Schizosaccharomyces pombe: one gene and its partners. The gene in region 1 interacts genetically with each later gene. Each region holds a gene or a part of one and is shown on either strand. Other genes may lie near its edges. The genes, in order: wis1, ptc3, isp6 and sds23.

Region 1 (6,571 bases):
TGAAACTGCAAAAGCGAAATACGCATCTCAAAAGCGACCGTAATATATTACGGCGTTCTTTCTCAAAAAATATTCCACTATGAAGGAATTTTCATTTCCAGGATAAAAATCTGTTATGACTCTAGATTACCTTGTTGGACTTATGTTGGGAGAATTTGTTTCTTTGATATATAAAAGTCTCGTACTTTTTAAATAAATGAATACCTCAAATCTCTTTGAGTAATATATTAATAGTTTAAGTAATTATTATTAGGTCGATATAATATCTATTAACACTTGCATTTACGATGGATTCAATCTCTCTAAGTAATCACCATTGTAGGAAACAGGAGATCATAGTAGCTAAAACGACGGAGCCAGTCAACGAAGTTTTAAAAGAAATAAATTAATACAGTACAAGTAACTTTTACAATTGCAAACTTTCGTTTGCACTTCTAAAGCCCCTTAGTTAAATAAAAAAAAAGTTTTTTATGGTGGACGTAAATGCCTTAAACAAATGTAATAACACATTAAATACCCGTTTTAATTTAAAGCAAAAATGCAAACATCAACTACCGTTATACGGAATCATACCCAAATTATTAAATTTATGAAAAAGCACAAATGCAAAATAGCGTCGGTTCTGCTGAAACATAATTATGGATCACGTAATAGTCATGCATTCGAAATTAAAGACAAACACCAATGCGCATGGGTACTTTAAAACAGAGCAGGCAATTAGAAAGCAGGCGAACCTTTAGCTTCTTTTTTCACCTTTCTCTTTAAGAGCGCCTTTTGCCCATGAAGCCATGTCCACATCTGCATTTTGATATTTTAACAACCATGGATGGTTAGCCAACTCATGATAATCGGGACGCAAAGACGGGTTTTTATTCAAACACTTGTTTACAAAATCACGAGCTTCGGGAGAAAATGAATCGGGGAGAGAAGGTGGATCGCCATCGCAAATCGCCGATAGTTGTGCAAATATTGAAGTATATGATTCAGGTGGATACGGATAAGCTCCTAAAGCCATTTCTAAAATGGTAAGGCCTAGAGACCACACATCAGCCTGTACGGTGTAAGTCAAGACGCCATTGGTAGGTCCACCAACACGAATTCTTTCAGGAGCCATGTAAGATTGACATCCAATGTTCGTTTTGGATATAGAAGCCACAAGATTCCCACTCACGCCAAAGTCACATAACTTAACCTGGCCATTAGAATTTACCAAAACATTAGTAGGTTTAACGTCACGATGAATGATATTATGCTCCTCTTTCAAAGTTTTGAGGCCTTGCACTACAGCATAAGCAGTTCTAGCTAAAACTCCTTCGTCTTTGATACCACCAGCATACAGTTTGTCCATGCTACCAGCATCCATATATTCCATACAAATAAAAACAGAACCTTCCACAAAAAAGGCACCATAAAAGTCAACGATATAAGGACTAACTGCTTTATGTAAAATATCCAATTCCATTATAATTTGATTAAATGTTGCTTCTTCTAAGGACAACCTAATTTCCTTCAAGGCCATAGTGACACCAGTCGGTTGATGCAATGCTTTATACACAACACCATAGTTACCTTTTCCAAGTTCTTCAAGCTTAATAATCTCTGACATATTAATACGAAACGAAGAGCCAGATGAAAAGTTAACACCTTCTGAATTTAACACGGCTTTGTTTTTAAAATTTAAGGTGCCTGATTTTGCATCCAAAATATCCGAAAATGTGGAAAAAGGGGTTTCCGAAACAGCCTGTTTAAGGGTGGGAGGAATGTTTAGGCCACGGCGAGAAGCCATGCTAGACGGACTGACAGGGCTGGTGGGATTGGAATTGGATAAATCGAGTTTTCCAGGTGGTGCACGACGGATTCTCGTTTGTCGATTGAAGGACGTTGGACGGTTGAGTAAAGGATTCCTAGCAGCAGCAAGTGATTTTGCAAGCCCGGACTCTGGCATATTCGGAGACTTTACGGGCGAATTACTTAATCGACCAGCAAGTTGAGAGTTAGGCAAAGGATAACTTCCTCGTTGACCCATACCGACAATAGGGGTAGTTGGACTACTGATCTTGTTGACTACTTCCGGCATTGATTTTGATCTAGATGCATGGAAGGCCTTCAATTTCTCCTGTATATCAGTTGAAAGTCCTCCAGGAAATGGGCCCGGTGGAGTAGGAGGAGATCCAATATTGTTCTGACCAGCTGCTGTAGGAAGTGAACGTCTAGGTTTTTCCGAAGGATCCTTCATGTCAAGGTTAAGAGAGTTACGACTCCGACTGGACGTAGATCTGCCAAGTCTGACCGTAGGCACGGCACGGGGAAGAGGGGGATCGGAAGGTATTTCACGACTAGGAGAAGAAACCTTTGAGTCATTGTCACTGCCACTACTGTTAGAATTTAAAGACAAGGAACCCAAGGAAGAACCAGAAGAATCGGTGTTTGAAGAACTTGAAGACGAAAGAGAAAGGAGCGAGCCGGGAGTACCAACATCACCGGGAGGTGCGGTAGGAGAAATAGACAGCTGTCTCAATGAGCAAGACAAGGGTTGATTATTTGGAGAAGACATATAAAATAAATGTGCTTCACAAACTTAAAAAAAAAGAAAAAAAAATTAGGTAAACTAAATTCCGGTAATATAAATGAAGCAAAAGTGAAGATGAACGAAAGTGAGATGGCAATACAAAAAAGGTATCTTGGGTGAAAAGAACAATTAAAATTAGACAATCAATTACGAGTCGTCTCCGACGAAGAAGGAAAAAAAAAGCGGTGGTCTAAAAAGTCCGCAGGAAGGATATTCCAAGAAAAAAAAAGGAAGTTTAAAGGCAATCACCTACGAGTAGCTTTGTGTAGGTAAATGCCACGGAAAAAAAGGAGGTTTGGAAGGGTTTAAATTTAACAGCAAAAGCCAGAAACTGGAAGAAACAGGGGCTTAGATAATAAATTTCCCAAGGAGAACTAAAGAAAAAAAAGTAAAAAGGTGTGGGTTAATCTTAGTCCGAGAAGTCAATACTTTAAAACCGAGTTATGACCGACGAGTAAGGAGGCAAAGGTAAGGAGAAAAAGTAATAATTCACAAACACGAAATAAAAAGGAAAGAAATTTGAAATTATCTTTCTAAAAGATAACACGTAAGGGTGTGGAAGGAAGAGAAAAAATTCAGAAACGCTTTTCTCTTACAGTAAAGAGCAAAAAAAATTCTGCTCTTTAAAGGAAATGGGAAAATTTAGGGAGGGTGATAAAATAGGAAGTGTAGTCGGTACGATGTAAATAAGATATACACGTCGAAAGGGAATGCTTGAGAGATTAGGAATCCCAGCTATCGCCAGCCGGCTGGGGTATGTTTGGGTATACAAGAAGGTGGAATGGGATGGAGTTGGTGAAGGATAAAAGGATAACGAAAGTCAGACAACACGTTGCTTAATCTTAAGGAGAAACTTTTGCACGTTAGCTTACGTATCAGTATATAAGGATAACGTGGATAAAAAAATGTTTCATCAAAACAAGGGATGGTTAAGGGATACAATCAAATTTGTAAAATCAAAATAACGTGAAGCCAAATAATATGCTGCAGATCTCCGTATAAGCGTAACGACCTGTATGAATCATTCGACAAGATTTCTAACAAGGTATCCTGAGATTTATATGCAAATGGAAAGAATGTACGGCAGAAATAGCTGGTAAGAAATACCTCGATGGATTAATGGGAAAGCACAGGATGATTGGGTAAAATGCTCAACGTATAGAGAATAATACATAGAAGTAAAGAAAAACAGAAAAAAAAAGGGCCGAAAAATATTTTAATGGAAGATAAACACAACGATTTATCGGTCTTGACAGAAGGAATTGAATTGTCCGATAGATATGGTAGTGTTTGATTAGAAAAGAATAAAGAATAAATAAATAAAAACAAAAATAATTAATGATTAGGTGCATAGGGCTTTAAGTTTCAAAGCTGGTATTCGAATGTCAATGTATACTAAGAAAAATCATGATCCAAGGTAAAATGTATAACCAAATAAATAAGAGAAATATAACTAACCTAGTAGCTTCCGTCCTTGAGAGCGATAAAAAAAAGCGAGTTAACGCACAAGTGTTTCGAAAAGGTGTAGTAATGTATAATAAAACATTTTTTAATAATCGTTAAAAGGTTCAGCAAGTGGAATGAAGAGAGTGTGTTATTTGTGCTCTAGAAGCAGCGTAAAAAAAAATTTATTTATTTTTAAATTTTTTTTTTTTTTCTAATTTTTTTAAATTTCTTTTGTTTAAGGAAACACACAAAAATAATGTAAGAGTAGCAGCAAAACTGCTAGGAACATTTTGTTCTATGGAAAAAGACACTGAAGTGAAAAGTGCAACGAAGGGGTAGAACTTTCGTAGGAAGGAAAAACAAGCAAAGAGAAAAAAATTTACAAAAGTTCCTAGATCACTCCATCTATATGCAAATGCATAATGTACGGTGTATGCTCGAACAAAGTAGAAAGGGGGCTATAAAAACGATTTGAGGATAATCCTTTATTAATGAGAAAAAATTTGGAACGTCTAGTTTTGCGCCAACATCAAGGGAAGACAAAAAAAATTTTCATTAAAACAGACTCAATAATGTTCAATTGAGATAGAAGAATACAGAAAGAGTCGAATGATTGAACATGTGGTGAAAAAGGCTGAAGATGAAACTAGATAGAAAGAGGCTGTATTCCCAACATCCAAAAATGAGGAAAAACTAAAGAAGAGAAGGAAAGTGGAATAAAATGAAGAAATTAAAAGAGAAAATCATACGATGAAACTGAGAAGAAGAAGAAGGCATTTTATTTTAATTTTATTAATTTTATTAGATTTCATTTCGTTTGACGCTTTACGGTTTCATGAAATGCCAAATTGCTAATTCTTTATTAGATTTTGGAGTATTTTCATTGTTAGTCTGCGAGTATTTTCATTATTAGTTTGTATTTAAAAAGTTTCATCGTATGTTTCTATAGATGCGTTTTTTTTTACATTATTTGAATTGAATGAAGAATTGATTTGCTATAAGAGAAATTTTTGACTTGGTATGGTTGCTGGCTGGCACCCACGGCTGCGTATGCCACATACCATACAATAGTAGACTAAGACGACTGTACATACGAATGGTAGTTGTTTTTTGGGGAAAGGAAAAAGGAATTCTTTGATAGTTAGAATGAATAAAAGGGTAGCGCTTATAATACACTGAGTAGAGAAAGAAAAGCGTGAAAAGATGACTGATTATTTGCAGAAAGACATTTTCCATCGTTCAAAGACCAACAAGTAAACATGGCGATCGGTAAAGAAGCGGTTCGTTACCTTGATCTGTAAAAAGAAAGTAACATGAGCGATGAATCGATAGCGACATGCACTGGAATATGCAATTGGGGTTTATTAGTTTAGTAAGGTTGTAGGAATGGTAATCGAGTTTATTGTAATCAAGTATAATGATATGGTGCAATGCGCGAGTACAAGAGCAGCAATATAATGGAGTACAGGAGCGAGAAGCAGTATTAGTTATTGTCGTAGGAGGGTTGTAGCATAAAGTGAAAGGTGCTATAAGGTATTGTAACGATAGCTTGTTAAAAAATGTTTTGACAGAAACGTTTGAAATGGATTGACATTGATATAGAAGCGTATATTGACATTTATAAACAAGTATATTATTTACATTCATGTAGGAGCTTATTATTGGCATTCATAAACAACTTATTATTGACATTCAATGTAGATTCATATAGGATTTTATTATTGCCTTTTCTAATATTCATTTTTGACATTTTTGTGATGCAGTGTTGCTGGAAGCGAAAGATTAGCACCTTTATCAAACTGTGCGATGATCTTTGTCTGCCTGTATGTGGAAAATGAGAGAAAGTGAAGAATAAAAAAAAGGGAAATTCGACAATATCTAGTACTGCGACAAACATGTCTGTAAAATTTAGGTGATTGATTTGTGTTTTTCCACTACTAACATTTTATAGCCATTTCCAACCATTCATTCCTCTTCCCTTTTCCATCTCCATTACAACCTCATTCCTCTCCCCTAAAGCTATAGCACGTACAATAGAACAAGCATTATAATGAAAGAAAGCATATACCCATTCCACAATTTTACACCGTCCCACTCAGTATCGCTACAGTGAGAAATACTGCCGACAAAGCTTGCATCGTTTTTCGCACAATAACGTAAGGAAAGGAGCTCGGCGATACAAATACATTTTGTTTATTTCTCATATACTATTGCTGCATGGCCAAATTGCTTTGCCGACTAACAAAATGCCATGCCATGCCATGTTTATGTTACCTGATGATTTTTCTGGTCCAATCTGCACCTGTACTCCAAAACACCTTCACACCTTCACATACCGGCTACAAGTACCGAAGAATAACTGCCGATGCCGCAGCCACTGCAGCCCATTTTTTCGCATGCACATTTAGTGCCGCCGAAAAAGCAGTAGGATCGACCTCTTTAGCTTTCGTTAGCACGCGAGTGCGCAATACAACAAACCTTGTACTACTACTAAGTAAGTGTAAAGTAAAGTGTGTGAAAGCGTTGTAAAAGGAAAGGGAAGGATGAATTGCTTTC
Region 2 (5,663 bases), on another chromosome or scaffold:
TATTGCTCTATGGTCCTCCTGGTACTGGTAAATCGTACCTTGCAAAAGCAGTCGCTACTGAAGCTGGTTCTACTTTCTTTTCGATTAGCTCCTCAGATTTAGTTAGTAAATGGATGGGTGAAAGCGAAAGGTTTGTTATTCTACGTTAAAACTATTTACTCTTTAATATTTACATGACTAACATTATAGGCTTGTTCGTCAACTTTTTGAAATGGCGCGTGAACAAAAACCATCTATCATTTTCATTGATGAAATCGATTCACTGTGCGGAAGCAGAAGCGAAGGTGAGAGTGAATCTTCTCGAAGGATTAAGACAGAATTTTTGGTACAAATGAATGGAGTTGGAAAGGATGAAAGTGGAGTTCTGGTTCTGGGTGCCACGAATATTCCTTGGACTCTTGATTCTGCTATTCGCCGACGTTTCGAAAAGCGTATTTACATTCCCCTGCCTAATGCTCATGCCCGCGCTCGGATGTTCGAGCTTAATGTCGGTAAAATACCTTCGGAACTGACCTCACAAGATTTCAAAGAACTTGCTAAAATGACCGATGGCTACTCGGGTTCAGATATTTCTATTGTTGTTCGTGATGCAATAATGGAGCCTGTAAGACGAATTCACACAGCTACCCATTTCAAAGAGGTATATGATAACAAGTCTAATAGGACCCTTGTAACTCCTTGTTCTCCTGGTGATCCTGATGCATTTGAATCTAGTTGGCTAGAGGTGAATCCTGAAGACATTATGGAACCAAAACTTACTGTTCGAGATTTCTACAGTGCAGTTCGTAAAGTCAAGCCTACGCTTAATGCTGGTGATATAGAAAAGCACACACAATTTACAAAGGACTTTGGAGCAGAGGGATAGTAATATGATAAAGGAGCTATTTTCGCTTAGTTTAATGATACCATTATTGTAAAGAAGTATAATATCATGACTACACTCACAAATGTTGAATCACTTTAGTAAATTATGGAACTAGTAGAATATTGAAGGGAATGTATATTGCTTCGACAATATCTATTAGGGCAATCGGAAATTAGTCTGGGTATGTTTACTCATGCCAGAGAAATATTTTCCATAATCTTAACTGATTTTGAATCAGGATTATAAAAGACAGTATTCGACAAAATTGATATAGAAATCGCATGCTATCAAAAAGTGCAAAGTAGCAACGTACCAAAAACCTTTTCATTCTCGGAGGTAATCGGTATACGTCGCAGGCACGTATTATACGAACAACAAAAGAAAAGCATGAAAAAATGTTGAAACAAAACCGCCTAGCGTGACTTTTATAATAAGTCAACAAATAATGCTAATTACGAGGAATATTCCTAAAAGCAAGTTACATTGTGTAATATGCGTGAAGTAGGGAATAATCAATCTGCTGCAGACACAGCCTCCTTATGATCATCCGCAACATCTTTGTTAGAATTTACGATATCGGTTTCACTTGAAGAATTTTCCTCCTCGGCTTTATGAGGGAAAAAGTGTTCTTTCCATCTGAACCCAGCTGCAAGGGATCCGTTGGTGGAATCATCTTCCTTAGAATTTTCATTCGCATCTTTGTCATATCCATCAGATCCATTTAACTTTACTTGATGAAAATTAGGTGGGACAATAACTTTCTTATTGTTATCGCCACTACGCCATCCTGGGCCATGATTTTCGGCATACTCAGGAGGAGCGCAGGGTCCGTCGTTAGCGGCAACTCTATCTGCAATCTTCTTATACCATGCTGATTTATCGTTTTCTTGCAATAAGGCAACTATACAAACAGTCATGTTGTCACAACCAAGGCCGGTAGTTTCGGTGTCACTGGCTATGCAGTTATCCATTAAATTTTCAGCAATCTTCTCAAGAGAGGTTCCAGCAACTATGCCACGTCTAACAAACTCGATCACTTGCTGCGAAGTCTTGCAATCCCAAATACCATCACAAGCGAGTACGACGAATTCATCATCGTCAGTAATCTCATGTACAACAACATCCGGTAAGGCAGTAACTATTTGTTTTTCTGGTTCTAAATTACTGTTTTTGAACTCAAAATCACCGATAGCTCTTGACAAAGCCAAATTTCCATTTACACGGCCAAAGTCTACAAAGCCACCAGCCGCACAAATACGGGCTTTTTCGGCTTCATTTGAAGGCTTATGGTCTGCTGATAGAGGTTTTGCAATTCCCTTACTGCCAAGGACAGTTCTTGAGTCACCGGCATTAGCCTACACAATTAGTAAGACTAAACAACTTCCAAGACTTACACAATAAAGTTTATTTCCAACACGAAGAACAACAGTGGCCGTGCAACCTGATGGATCCGTATGAAATTGATCATCTGTCAAAATAGTTAGCAAAATGCAATGTAGTGAAATGACAAATTTTTTTTCTGAAACCAAACTAAATGTAACAACTTTTCAACATCAAGAGGTAAACATTTCTATTATCTTGGTAACAATTTTTCTAAGCATTAACTAGACAAAAGAACAAAAAATCTATAAAAATTTCAAACACAAAATTCATCAATTTTTTGGCGACTTTAAAATGGTTATGATATCAATGAAAACAACTTTATCATTGTTAACAACAAACTTACCATCCAAAATAGCTTTATCAGCATTTAAAAATGAAGATTTCAAAGCATTAACAAAATCGCCTTTCTGAAAATCAGGATTCTTTTCAAGAATCTGAGGAAGATTGCTTCCACACCATTTCGCGACTTTGTCTCCACCGTGGCCGTCATAAACCGCAAAAAAGTCGACCGGGTCTTTTACTGCAGAGCACTCCATTGAAAGTATAGCAGAATGAGCATCTTCCATTGAGATACGCCATCCTTGCATGCTTGAAAGTCCATAAAGGACGAACTCATTGCTCCCGTTCACCGAGTGCTTCTCGGTGACTGGCTCTGATAATGTCTGACCCATTGACAGCTCTTGCTAATAGATGACACAAATTTTCACGTTTTCTTTTTGTGTCGCTTCAAAACGGGTTATGTAGTAGTGATAGGTAAATCGCTAGTAGGTGGTGGAGCTTGTCGGAGGGAGTGTTGTGGCACCCTCTACAACTACATCACCACCGTGGAGACGAACGATAGTTGTTAAAAGACTATGGAAGGTAACAAGATTAGCAGTAGTCAAGGCATATATGTAAACAACAGAATAAATGGTATCAAGGACTAAATACTTATAAATTTCAAATGTTCATTAAAAAACATGTGTAAACATAGCATATCCTATAAATTGATTTTTCAATGGTTTGCATTTTACTATGACTACAATAGAGACAAAAACAACGCTGAGTAGAATGCCCCAACAAATTCAGCAACTTGATTCAGAAAAAATTTCTATTAGGCAAAAATGATATTATTTTGATTCAATTAAAAATTCCATTGGATTTAATAAATGACCAAATAAATTCTACTTATTAGAAAGAAAATTGAAATAGAACTATTTGATAGGAGTAATAAATCTTAGCAATAGCAAGTAGGATAACAGTTTTATAACAACATCAACAATGAAGATATACATAACTTTGAAAAATAGCACAAGAAGCTAATCTTTACGTTGCTCACTTTTAGCAAGTCCTTCAGCTAAACCTGTATAGTAGCCCGCATAGTACCAGCTCATGATAAGCTTTTTGTAAGTCTCGTCTAAATCATTATGTTAATAATAGAGAGTCATAAATTTTCTTAGAAGACCTTTTACTTACCATATGTTAACCCTCTTATAGGGGGAGGAACTTCCATAAACTCTTGATGTGTCTCTGCTGCCCTTGTTTCAGGCTTTTCGTCGCTAAGGCCTTTATTATCTGCAAACTGTTGGATATGTGTATCTCCTTCCAATGTCGTCTCTGTTTGCTGATTTATCATCTGCTCACCTTCTTCTAGCTTACTTATTGATTCTTCTGTCCGTGCAGCTGAAATTAATTTTTCACCATCTAGCCTAGAATCCGGGTCCGATACTCCTCCCTTTGCTTCAATACTATGATACTTTTTGAATTCATGTAAAGCGGTTTCAAAGGCATTTCTGAGCTCTGAATCATCCCACACTTCTTTTTGGCTCTGGTCCATTTTTGGTACAAGTTGTAGATAATCTATTCCTGTATGTCTTTCTTTGTACCTTAAGAAAGCTTTATTAACAAGTAGTTTCCAACTTTGTTAACTCTTATATTAATTGAATATTATTAAAGTGAAAATATTGTTTATAAAGCACAACGCGTATAACGATAAACAGTTTGAGCTCGGCGATTCCGCTTACTACAACAATTATAATCTGCTGTGGTAACTTAGCTCCTTGCCTTAACTATCAGCCGCCTTAGTGGACAGGACTACAAGAATTCGAGGTCAAAGATATAACGAGGTTCGCACATGGCGATGTGAACTCGTGGAAGTATTGTGAAAGAATGTTTATTCCAATTCATCTTTGTTTACGATTTTGGCTTTATTATACCAAAAAGAAAAAGGAATTGTATAAGCTACAAAAATCAACCTAAATCAGTTATCTAATATCCACACGAATAATTCATTAAATGCTACATGCGCTAATATGGTTTAGCGAGGACTTCTCAGTAAGTTAGCTTTCTGGGATAGATTTTAAACTACCTAATTGAATTTAAGGTAGCTCCACGTAATTACGTTACATATTTTTATGCATCGTCATCTTAATTTACGTTAAGTACATATCGCATTCTGAAAGACCATGCGAATGGGTATTGGATGAGTATCGTTCTACTATCCCTCCTCTACATACATTCATATTTTAAAGATTTTCGTTCATGAAAAACTATCATAACATATTTCAATAGTGTATCTTTTGATAATTTCCTTTTTCCGTTACTTTTTACATGCATATAATACTTGGATAGATCAGATTTTTCTTGTTCTCGATTTTCTGAAACGATCGTTCATTCATTCCTCGATAATTTGACGAAAGGACCCTTAAGTTTGCTACTTTGCAATAATGGCTTTCAATGGATATGGTATTTTCGACAGTGATCCTAGAAAAAGTAAGTATACCTATCCTTCCCTCATTTGTAACAAAATTGCTAACGTTGTTTGAATCTTCGATCTGCGGGTGTTAATTCCTACAGATTCGAGATTCATCGCTGAAAACAGATCCATCGAGCGATTTAAGAACTCAATTTTGGCTCGCCTTTTTACTTGGAGCCTCTGCATGCGTATTCTTTTGCTTCTTTCGTAAAAGATGGAAAGTACTATATGCCCCTAGAACTACCATTGAAGGTCTCAATTTACCTACACTTTCTTCATCGTACTACAAATGGTTAATGGATTTAGTAAACATCCCTGATGATGTAGTGCAAAATTGTGCTGGTTTGGACGGCTACGTTTTTTTATTGTTTTTTAAAATGGGTATAAAATTCCTTTCTTTTGCTTCCCTGCTTGGCGTTTTGATTATTATGCCCGTCAATAAGCATTTTCGTGGAGATGCATTCGGGAATATTACTTTGTCGATGCCTGCCAAATCTGAATATTTCTTCTCAAGTCCACTTGTCAAGAAGTCAATTGTACAATCTCCTATTATTGCTAATGGTAGTGAGTTAAATGTTGGTGTGTTAGGACCTTCTTTATTTAATCCAATTGGTAATTTATCTGATATACCAGGTCTTCCACAGCCTGGTGATGGATTTCTCTATCTTTACGTTCTTTTTA
Region 3 (5,863 bases), on another chromosome or scaffold:
ATATCCGTACCAAATTTGACGAATTAGTTTTGGAAAAGACAAATTTGTTAAAAGAAAATTCAATACTTCAAGCAGACTTACAATCTCTTTCTCGTGTCAATAATTCTTCCTCAACAGCGCAACAAAATGCCCAAAGCCAACTTCTTTCTTTGACTGCACAACTCCAAGAAGTACGAGAAGCAAACCAGACATTAAGAAAAGATCAAGATACCCTTTTAAGAGAAAATCGAAACCTTGAGCGAAAACTTCACGAAGTTTCAGAGCAATTGAACAAAAAATTCGATAGTTCTGCAAGACCTTTTGATGAAATTGAAATGGAGAAAGAGGTATTAACACTCAAGAGTAACCTTGCTCAAAAAGATGACTTACTATCATCATTAGTTGAACGCATAAAACAGATCGAAATGTTTGCGCTAAAAACTCAAAAAGATAGTAATAATCATCGAGAAGAAAATCTTCAACTGCATCGTCAACTCGGAGTTTTACAAAAGGAGAAAAAGGATTTGGAGCTCAAATTGTTTGATTTAGATCTTAAAACTTATCCCATATCAACATCAAAGGACGTCCGAATGCTACAAAAGCAAATATCAGATTTGGAAGCATCGTTTGCTGCTTCCGACATCGAACGAATTAAAGGAATTGATGAATGTCGCAATCGCGATAGGACTATCCGTCAACTGGAAGCTCAAATATCAAAATTTGATGATGATAAAAAGAGAATACAGAGCTCAGTTTCTCGTTTGGAGGAAAGAAATGCGCAACTGAGAAATCAATTAGAAGATGTGCAAGCTTCAGAAACACAATGGAAATTTGCACTACGTCGGACGGAACATGCTCTTCAAGAAGAGCGTGAACGCGTCAAAAGTTTGGAAACCGATTTTGATAAATATAGATCTTTGCTGGAGGGTCAAAGAGTAAAGAGAAGTGAAAGTAGATTATCCATGAGGTCCAATCGTTCGCCTAGCGTTCTAAGGTAGCCAAGCTTCCCAAAGACTCGACATGTATTTTTTAAGATGATGTAAATTATTAGTTCATGAATTTAAAATTATTTTATTATTACTATTATTATGCTCTGCGTCAACGTAACAAGTAACCACAAGGATACTTTAGTTCAAAAAAAAAAGTAAGTCGGTCAAGTAAAAGGCATTTTAGTTCGGTTTACTTTTTATTTTACCCCTATTATTTGTACAATGGTTATATGCAGCAATCACATTGTAAAAGAAAACTATGAAGAGATAGGCGGCGATATTAAATGTAGAAGAGCTCTTGCATAACAGCGGCACAAATATAAATACAAATACAAATAAAAGAAGAGGACATTTACAATTACACTTTAACATTGTAAGTTGGAAGAACATCACAAAAAAATTTCATTCAAGTATAAAAATTCTAAACGTGATTCAGTGGCTTGCATTATAAAATATTTATTGTCATAACAATCATTATAAACTGTTTGTAAAGAACAATCATAAAAGGAGCAAACGTTTTCAAAAAAATAAAACAATTACTCGATGTATTGAAAATCAAACACCGACTTATTGAAAACATCGAATGCATCCAACATGAAGTAAAATCTATTCTTGAGCACCATTGAAAGCGAGAAGGTTAATAGTGCTGCTACCAACAGGAATAGACAAGAGTACATCGTGAATACCCATCTTAATGATAGCATCTTTAACTTCGCTAGCGCTGGCAGCAGGGTGTAGGCCAAGGTAGTAAGCGGACAAACCTGCAACATGAGGGGTTGCCATAGAAGTACCAGAGATGGTGTTAGTACTAGTATTTGAACCGATCCATGTAGACAAAATGTTAAGTCCAGGAGCGAAGATGTCAACACAGCTACCATAGTTAGAGAAGTAGGCCATTTGGTCGTTTATAGTGGAAGCGCCAACGGTGATGGCTTTCTTAGAAGCAGCAGGAGATGAATAGCAAGCGTCATCATACTCATTTCCAGCAGCAACGGCATAAATAACACCGTTGGTAACGGCAGAATCAACAGCCATATCCAAAACAAAGCTGTTGCCGCCACCAAGAGACATGTTGCCAACAGAGGTTTTCTTGCCGGACGATTTGTGATGACGAACAGTCCACTCAACACCGGCAATCACATCAGCCATGGTACCAGATCCACTGGAACGGAGAACCTTGACAGCAACGATTTCAGCCTTCTTTGCAACACCATAAGCACGGCTAGCAATGGTACCAGCAACATGCGTACCATGACCATTGTTATCCTCATCAACATCACCAGAGGGAATGGTTGCACCCCAAGAAGCGCGACCTTCGAACTCAACATGATGAATGCTTACACCGGTATCTACAACATAAGCGGTGATGTTGTCACCAGCGCTGGAATCGTAAACATATTTGCCAATATCATCGTATTTGACGGATTTGTGAGAGATGCGAGCAAGTCCCCAAGGAGCGCCACTTTGAGTTTCAAGTTTCTTAATGCTGACAACTTGATCACGCTCGACGGCGATGACATGAGGATGCAAGCGAATTTGCTCAACAATGTTAGAGCTGAATTGACCAGAATAACCTTTGAAAGAGTCCTCGCCAAAGTCATAAACATGCTTCAAGCCAAACATGTAATTACTATCACTAGTATCGTAGTACTCATCTTCTTGAGAAGCAATGTCCATTTGGTGCATCTCCGAGACCCAATTAGTATGGGCTTGGAATTCTTGTTCGCTCAAATCAGGCTGCAAAACAATGATATAGTGAGAGTCCAGTCCAGTGGTATCGGCGTTGGAAGCAGACAAGAGAGGAGCGGCATTAGGACCAGCATGAGGTTTGTGCTTAGGGGTAGCGGCTTCGCCGTGGGAGTCGTAGAAAGCGTTATCGAGCTCAGGACGGATACCAGCATGGGCAATGTCCGAATCAGTCGCTGGCATCACTGGTGCAGCACAGGCAGTAGAAGCGAAGAGGGCCAAACCTGCGGCGGCAGAAAAAAGATTTGAATAAGGAATTCTCATGTTGATGCTGAGAAGACGAGGCTGTTGGAGGGGGAAGTGATTGTGATTGTGGTTGGGGTAGTGATTGAAGGCGGTTAAATTGCTGAGATTGCTGAACAGTAGGCAAGTATCGTTGTTCCGTGTTTACTTATGAAAGAAAGACAAGGAAAACAGATGACAAAGACTATTGAAAAACTAACTATCTATCCCAAGTTCAGATAGGAAGAAATCGAGAGAGATGAATAAAAGAAAAAAAAAAAGAATTGTGGGCTATATACAAACTATAGTAAGTAGTATATGGGCGAACAATGGGATTAAGAGTTATTATAAAGAAAGGGAGAAAGAAACTATAATAATTCTCTAACAATTACTTTAATAAAATAAAAAATTGCAAGCAAATGAAAAACACAAAGCGAAAAAAAACGACTGTGAATGAAACAAAATCAAAACTAGTGGCACTGGTAAATTCAATTCCAATGCAACTTGTTCTAAGACGTTTGACTTTGTAACGAGGAGCGTACTGATACACGACTCAATGGGGGCTACCTCTTTCGTTTATATAGTCTATCCACCACCCGTACCCTAACCCTCGAACATCAACAAAGGGAGTTTGGACAGATAGAAGCAGAGATTCCGTAAAAAAGCAGGCAAAACTCAATTCCAAATCCATTCAATTCAATTGTAATATAATTTTTTTTAAAAAAATTCTGTTCATTTACTTCTCTGCTTTCTCCCTTGATTATTCGTCAAATGCCACTGTTCTGCATGCATCGCTGTATTAGCACTTTCTCAAGCGCGCCCTCCCTTTCGCAATTCGTTACTTGGCTGACTTAACGAGTCACGATATGTTCACTTGACGTCACCCCTCTAATCTAGCGATACGAGGTGGTTAGTGGAGGAACGGTGATCCATTGCCTGTGATTGGTCGATAAGCTCAAACAAGTGGTTCTTAGATAAACTTTGAAAGGCCGGATTGGTAAGGGCCACTCAACTGCCACTCTGTTCGGTACATTGAATGATAACGCTTCATGCGCATTGCGCTGCTTAGGGCAGAAAAAAGAGCAATTCAAAGATATGGAGGAACGGAAGCCGATTCACTGATAACTTGGTAATCCACGGATACACACATTGATCGGGACATACATAAAAAAAGAGGTTTGCAAAATTTCCAAATGTATGGAAGCAACAGCATATCCATATTCAACAATATGCACTCAATGTCATTTCATTTTCAGAAAGGTTTATTCTTTCCTTTCATGACTAGTATTCATTCTACACAAACAGTAAACTGAAACGAAAACAAATAAATTATAAAACACTAGCACAATTGAATGAACATGACTCTCGGTGTTCAGCTAACGCCCACTCATGTAAACAAGTGCTTGATGAAAAACATCCATCCATCCATCCATCCCCTGATAAGTGTTTGCTACATTACAACAGCCATTCTATCTTTATCAACAAATTGGTTGGAGACATTTATTTTAGAGGAGAGAAGATTGAGAGATTGTGTGTGCGTAAACAGTTAATTACCGATGCATCGTATTTCGGTTATTGTATATAAGAAAGAGTTGCTAGATGAAGCAATGAGGGACTTTAAAATTCCCCATTTTCACTATAAAATCCATTTCTTCTTTTCTATGAAACTTTACTTATTTGTATATTCTTATATAAATTGTTAAAGAAACAGCCTGTGGAGTGAGATCGAGCGAGTATTCGTAGCAATCGCTGGCTCTTTCCTATGTAACTTTTCTTCTATGCAGCCATGAAATTTAATGCAGTACAAGGGATTTAATCAAAGAGTTTTAATGATGAACAGAATGCGTGGATGGCATTTGCATTTCTTTGTATACGAACAAACAACATGTGACAACATTGACAATGTTTGAGATTCCCACAGTAAGAGAGATTGGGCGCTGTGTTGAAGCTCTTTCATCAATGCGCTCTCATTCCAGGTGTCGTTTGGACTAGACCATCACTAATAGTTCAACAAGTTGAAACAATTAGCAAACAATACAGAGAACAATGGCGTTATATTGGAACAAATGAATGACGGTTCTGTATTTTGGTGGCGCCGTACACCCAGCAATTTTGAATTTGGGAGCTTTTGTATATATTTCGTTATAAGTACTTGGTACTTTGGAAACGAAACAATCTCTAATCGCTAAATATCTTGCCATCATCGGAGCTGTTGCACTTATCACTTTATTCAAGCAGCGCTTATTAGGAATAAACTAAAGAGTAACATAGTCAGATTTCTCTGATGGTTGGATTGAATTGAATTGAATTGTCGTCGATAAGCTATATACTCCATCTGTTTTGCTCTAACAAAGCAATATAATCTAGAGTGCTAATGTGCTATAGTGAAAAAATAAGATAGAAAAGTAAAAAACATATTTGGATAGGAAAAATGAAAGTGGTTGGTAGAATCCACCCCCTCAAACCAACCAAAAAAAATTGAAATATTAACGAAAATGAAATAAAGACATGCTCATCAAACGAACTATCCCTACAATGCTCACAGCCTTCCTTTCATTACATATCTTCCTTAACTTCTTTTATCGTGCTTTAACGCATTTGTTTGCATAGTATTACAGGGTTCGTTTTAACACACTATATGCTTTACACCGCTTGTATAGAATCGTGTAAGACTTTCTCCTTGTTGGTGTATGCTGAACTCTTTTTAAAATCCCCTGTTATTTGGTATTTCGAGTTAGCCTTAAACTGGAAATTTACCTCGGCTTTCAAGCAAAGCGTCTGGAAGCTTCAATATCTGTAGGAAAGAAAACTTTCTTTCCTCTAATCCTTTGATCATTAATCTTTTTTTAGCAAAATTTACTAGAAATTACCGGTTTCTTGCACGGTTTGTTTTGCACGCCGCGAAGTTACCATCTCAAGCGATTCAC
Region 4 (5,221 bases), 190 kb from region 1:
TAAAAACTTTTTAGTGTCAGATGCTACGGTTACTAAAAGACTTCACATAATCAACCCGACTGAAATAAAAAATCTTCTTGATTCCAAATCTATTAACTTGTCGCTCGTTTCCAAATATTTACTCGTTTCTGCATTCCTAGCATCTTATAATCCAAGCCGGTTAGACGCCCAATTTTTTTCATTTTCTAAAACTTCGAAACGACGTGGAAGAAAACGTAAACAAATTCAAGATGAAGGGGTTTTATTTTCCAAAATACCAAGAACCGCTGGGAGCAAAGGCCGGTCTGCTGTAAAAATATCCCAACTTACATTAGGACCTAAACCTTTTGAAGTAGAAAGGTTGATTGCTATTTATTATGCCATTTCTTCCCCGGTAGAGAAAGTTCTGACCGCTGATGTTTTTGTTCAAATAGCTACACTCGCCTCCTTAAAAATGATACTTTCGGCTTCCAAAGGTGTGCTTCGCTCTTTGGATAGCCCTAGATACATTGTCAATGTCTCTCGCGAATATGTATTAAAAATCGCAGATTCACTTTCGTTTCCTCTCGATAGTTATTTGGCGGGATAGCTTAGTATTATGGTTTATTTTATTGCATTACTGAAATTTTGAATATCGTAGTTCTGTCACAATTCATTAATTTATACAGAACTATATGAACATCCATTCTATCTCCCCATAACATGTTATTTTACTGTTTAAAGGGCCCAAAACTTAAAAAACATATTTTTTTTTGTTACTTCTGGAAAATAAAAGAAAATGTACACTACAAACAATTCGATTACGCCTCTGTGATTCTGTGTAAACTGTTACGTATTTAACATTATGGAAGTTGGCAAAGCTGTAAAAAGCAAAAACTAGCGCCGAAAACACTCTTGACAAAAAAATAAAGTAATGTGCTGCTAAGATGGATACATAATATATATCAAGAGGCAAAGTTTCAATCATAACTCTGATATAAAAGTTAACCCTCTGAAAGAGCTACTCTGCTGCCGTGTAAATCAACAACGGGAGACAATTCATTAATAAGAACATATGTATAAAGAAAAGCGTCCGTCAGTTAACGTCAAAACATAAGTAAAAGTATATTTTTAATGGTTAATAAGAAATCATTGGAGATTTAACCAAAATCTTATCCATTTAAAGATGATTAAAAATAAGTATCAAAACCCGTTCATGAAATATGGAATGTTAGAGGTAACAGTAAAAGATGAAATAAAACGGAGGTTCAAATGAGAAAAAGAAAAAAGGGTGTTTCAAATCATCAAATATTTAGCATCACCGACGTTGTGTATCTACACTAGCTTTGCTATGGCTACGATGGCTGCTTGTGCTTCCTCGACGTCCATGTCTAAGCGAAGGAGCACTATGGGGAGCGGGTGGAAGAGTGCCTTTCATGTGAGCATATAAAACAGATATGATATCAGTTAAGCTAACAACGCCCAACAATTGATTGACCTTAACACCACCCATGGATCCAGGGGAAAGATGTGCGTTATTTTTTGGGGAAGGAGGGCAGGAAGGTGACTGCACAAGCCAAAGACGATGACATTGGGTAGCCACCAACTTAGCCAACGTAAAAGCAAAAGTAGAGGATTCATAGATGTTAAAAGCAGGAGCACTATCCTTACCAGCGCGGATACCCTGTTCGCTTTTAATGACACTCAAAAAGTGAGCACATGATTTGTTTAACAAATAGACAGAAGAAGAACGTGTAACGTATTTAACATCAACGAGAGATATGTTGCCAAGTAACCGGAATTGAGCATCGACAACAGCAAGTGAACCAATACCGGTTTGATTCATCTGTCGCAAGGCCGCGGCGACTTTTTGATCTCCAGAGATACAGGTGATGTCAGTGCTTCCAATGTCCAAAGAGTGAATTGTCCTGGACATTAGAGGCTCCAAATCGGGAAACGCACGAATATTATTCCACAAAAAGCGGATGATAGAGCGCTGAGAAGCCATAAAGCTCAATTCACCCTGTTCGTTAGTGACGGCAACACGACGAATACCGGAAGAAAGAATCTCAGCGAGACGTCCAAGGCTGGTGGTGTGAGGGATGGTGATAAAGTCATCCTTGTTTTTCCCGAGTTTTGCAACCTCATAAGCAGTAATGACTTTTCCAGCACGAATATCTTCAGCGACCTTTTTAAACCTGCCATCATTGAAATCATCAAAACCCACTACCATGAGCAAAAATGAGTTAAGATCTGCATAGTCAAAGGTCGTAGCAATCTCGTTGCTTCCCTTAGCAGCAACAATAGGCAAGGCGCTAAGATCTCGGTCGATCAAAATGGAACTTGCCTCTTCCATGGAAGTTTCCGGGTCTATGAGAGCAATTTCATTATCATGAAGAAATGTTACAGGGATATCTTGCCATTTATTTGAAGGAAGATTAGTGGGAATGGGAAATTGTGCCAAAAAATCTGAGACCGAGTTCACGCCAAAGGACTGACGTCCAGCGCTCGATAAAGAATCAGACGATTGAGTTGACAAAGGCATTCTATACAGTTTTCCAGTTAAAATCTCTTTCTTTCCTCTGCATACAACAAAACTTACTGTACCGTGCAGTTTGTCAAATCTAGGTCAGTGTGTGGTTCTGGATAGCGTTGAGGTAGGCAGTGACGGAAGTACCTAGTGATACAACGAAATAGGGGTACGCAGTGGTAAGGCTTTTTTAATCCACGACCTCTTTACCACATTAGACTGAGATCTCTGTAAATCCCGCCGTATACCACCGTCTACCTAATTAATCCACCATGTATGTGGCCTAGTTAAAAATTTCATAATCTGCGATTTCAGTATTTACATCACAATCAACCACTATTTCATTGCTTGCCCGCTTTCATCCCAGCAAGGTAAAACTAGGCAAAAAAATTTTTATTCTTTTTTAAAAATTTAAAAATTAAAATTAAACATAAGGATGGATTTAGTATGAGAGAAAAATAGCCAAGCGGTTAATCGGACGTTTTTCCTTGTTCATAAAGTGGGAAAGTGGGGCAGCTGCTCTAGTTGTAGATGCAGTGTAGGTCGGTTTTGCACAACAAAATCCTAATTTTGTCATTGCAAAAAGGCAAACAAAAATTTGTGTGCAACGATGAAGTGATTAGATGAAACGAGGCGCGCCTATGGAGCAATAAAGCGCTTTGTTTGTTAAAAATGCTTTTGAATTAGAGTTATGGATGAACAAAGTCAACACATTCATATGTACTAAATAATATTAAGACGCAGTATGAAACATACATAATTCAACGTTGCGATACCGAACAGCATCTACCCAATCTTGAAAAAAAAATTAAAATTTACTCTTTATGTTGTTTGATAATTTGGCAGGAGAATAGATAAGTCAAGTCATCAAGTAATTAATTTTATTAGTTAGTTTGAGAGTAATCTCGTACTGTAAGCATAATAATGCATGCTATAATATTGGGTACTCAGTTCTCTAATTATTATACATAGTACTTACACAGATGATCATCATTACCATTGCTTAGCAAAATTGGCAATCATAAACAACAGATATTTCTACCACTGCTATAGCGCTATACATCATTCGAATTTTGAGTGGACTTTTGCTCAAGACTTATTTGTCGAAGAAACGAATGAAAATCCACCCCTTCGTCTAATTTCTCTCCCCAAACATGGAGAAATCAAATCTATGTAATATAGGTTGGAGATGACCAAGTCAGCATTAAATGTTTGATCATCTCTTCACTTAGCAAATCCTATTGAATATCACTCAGTTAATCTCTTGTTTTGATCTTTTTCATTGATAAATGAGTACTAAATACATTACTGCTACGTATTGCTTCGTCTCATATAGTAACGGTGGCCAAATTTGAAGTGCGACAAAATACCATACTACTAGTAATAGAAATTCACATACTGAAACGTCAGATGCGTTTAATAAATAAAGCGCTTGTGTTTTGTTGGCAATTTGTGATTCAACGTGGTAATTAAAAAGTTTCAATATTGAGTAAATGGTCCGCTACAGATCACTCCGGGGAAGAGGTTATTGGGTTACGTAAAAAGACTCATGTGCTGTGGGAATAGCTATTGAAGAACACAAGGTATCGATTGTGTCTCACTCGACGTACCATAAGAAAGTTAAATGGTAAAGTGTGATATATGAAGTGAAAATACAACGTTACTATAATTAGCGGATCCAAGATGTCCAAATGATGATGATGATTGATATAGGAAATGCGATTATGTAGAAGATAAAGTGAATTTCCAAAATATCAAAATTAAAATCGAAAATAATCGAAATAACATATTGATATATATATGTAATTTGAGAAAATAAAATTTAAATATATAGGACACAAATAGACGCTCATCTAGTAGAAGAAATTCCAGCAGTCCAGTTACGGTTTGTAAGAGCATAAAATAAAGTAAATCCATAATTCATATAATAAGTTTTCATCTTGTCCTTTATTTAATTTTATTTTTTATTTATTTTTTATTTTTTTTTTTTAAATTTTTACTCCTTTCATTGATTAATTGTAGTAAAAAAAATCTACAAATTCATCGTCCATTTTATCCTATTCACTCGCAATTCTTTTTGGTAAAACACCCACGTGCGACTTTGTATTTGCTTAACGTACAAACTGCCAGTAGCTTAGTGTAAAAAAAAAATTAAAAAAAAAATAAAAAAAAATAAAATAAATCTATAAATGAATCATTACAAATAACGAATTACCAATTGAAAAATTAGTTAGAGTTTCTTTAATTGATCATTAATACATTATCGAATATTAAAATACGTTGGAAATCTGATATAATGCTGCGCACTTTATTAAACAATGAATTTCCACTAAATACCATAATAGCTTCTGTCTTGTCCTTGCTATGTAAACAAAGCTCAAGCCAAACAAAAACTTCAGGCGCATATTAAACAAGCACTTAACGTTTCGTACTAGATATTCTCTCAATTGAATTAATTGATATACGTTGTAAATTATTTCTATGACATGTACCTACCAGTCTTAAGCAGACATTATTAGATTTTGTCCTTTGTTTAACATATTCTCATGTATAAAATTTCTACATTTCTCTCTCTTTTTTTTTTTTTTTTTTAATTCACCACTTTGTATTGTAACATATTTACTTTCACTAAGTCGGCATTTTTTTTTTCCACATCATTAAACCTTACATCGCTTATAGTCGCTACCCTTTGGTCGGCCTTTCTACCCAAGACTTCGTACATACAGAAATCCT

Evidence for each region.
Region 2: of wis1 (region 1) and ptc3, a mutation in one rescues a mutant of the other (synthetic rescue), as found in Schizosaccharomyces pombe (one study listed by BioGRID).
Region 3: of wis1 (region 1) and isp6, changing one enhances a phenotype caused by changing the other (phenotypic enhancement), as found in Schizosaccharomyces pombe (one study listed by BioGRID).
Region 4: of wis1 (region 1) and sds23, extra expression of one is lethal in a mutant of the other (dosage lethality), as found in Schizosaccharomyces pombe (one study listed by BioGRID).

Annotation. Positions count from the first base shown.
Region 1 is NC_003423.3:1,143,231-1,149,801, forward strand, and holds wis1 (MAP kinase kinase Wis1), read right to left. Parts: upstream 3,374-6,571; 5' UTR 2,555-3,373; coding exon 737-2,554; 3' UTR 501-736; downstream 1-500. Other genes in the region: ubiquitin hydrolase Uch2, read left to right, coding at 1-43. UniProt on the Schizosaccharomyces pombe protein: Dosage-dependent regulator of mitosis with serine/ threonine protein kinase activity. May play a role in the integration of nutritional sensing with the control over entry into mitosis. It may interact with cdc25, wee1 and win1. May activate sty1.
Region 2 is NC_003424.3:818,786-824,448, forward strand, and holds ptc3 (protein phosphatase PP2C catalytic subunit Ptc3), read right to left. Parts: upstream 3,000-5,663; 5' UTR 2,920-2,999; coding exon 2,592-2,919; intron 2,344-2,591; exon of another isoform or gene 2,334-2,343; coding exon 2,260-2,333; exon of another isoform or gene 2,221-2,259; coding exon 1,378-2,220; 3' UTR 983-1,377; downstream 1-982. Other genes in the region: AAA family ATPase Vps4, read left to right, coding at 1-130, 190-865; smn1 (SMN complex subunit Smn1/Gem1), read right to left, coding at 3,547-3,644, 3,704-4,064; SPOM_SPAC2G11.09 (Ca(2+) transporter), read left to right, coding at 4,954-4,999, 5,109-5,663. UniProt on the Schizosaccharomyces pombe protein: Dephosphorylating regulator for many key proteins. Has an important role in osmotic stability and cell shape control. It may negatively regulate the osmosensing signal transmitted through wis1 map kinase.
Region 3 is NC_003424.3:2,542,465-2,548,327, reverse strand, and holds isp6 (vacuolar serine protease Isp6), read right to left. Parts: upstream 3,487-5,863; 5' UTR 2,979-3,486; coding exon 1,575-2,978; 3' UTR 1,347-1,574; downstream 1-1,346. Other genes in the region: Myo3-like myosin II heavy chain myp2, read left to right, coding at 1-977.
Region 4 is NC_003423.3:948,163-953,383, reverse strand, and holds sds23 (protein sds23), read right to left. Parts: upstream 2,608-5,221; 5' UTR 2,561-2,607; intron 2,505-2,560; 5' UTR 2,504-2,504; coding exon 1,277-2,503; 3' UTR 1,092-1,276; downstream 1-1,091. Other genes in the region: origin recognition complex subunit Orc5, read left to right, coding at 1-568.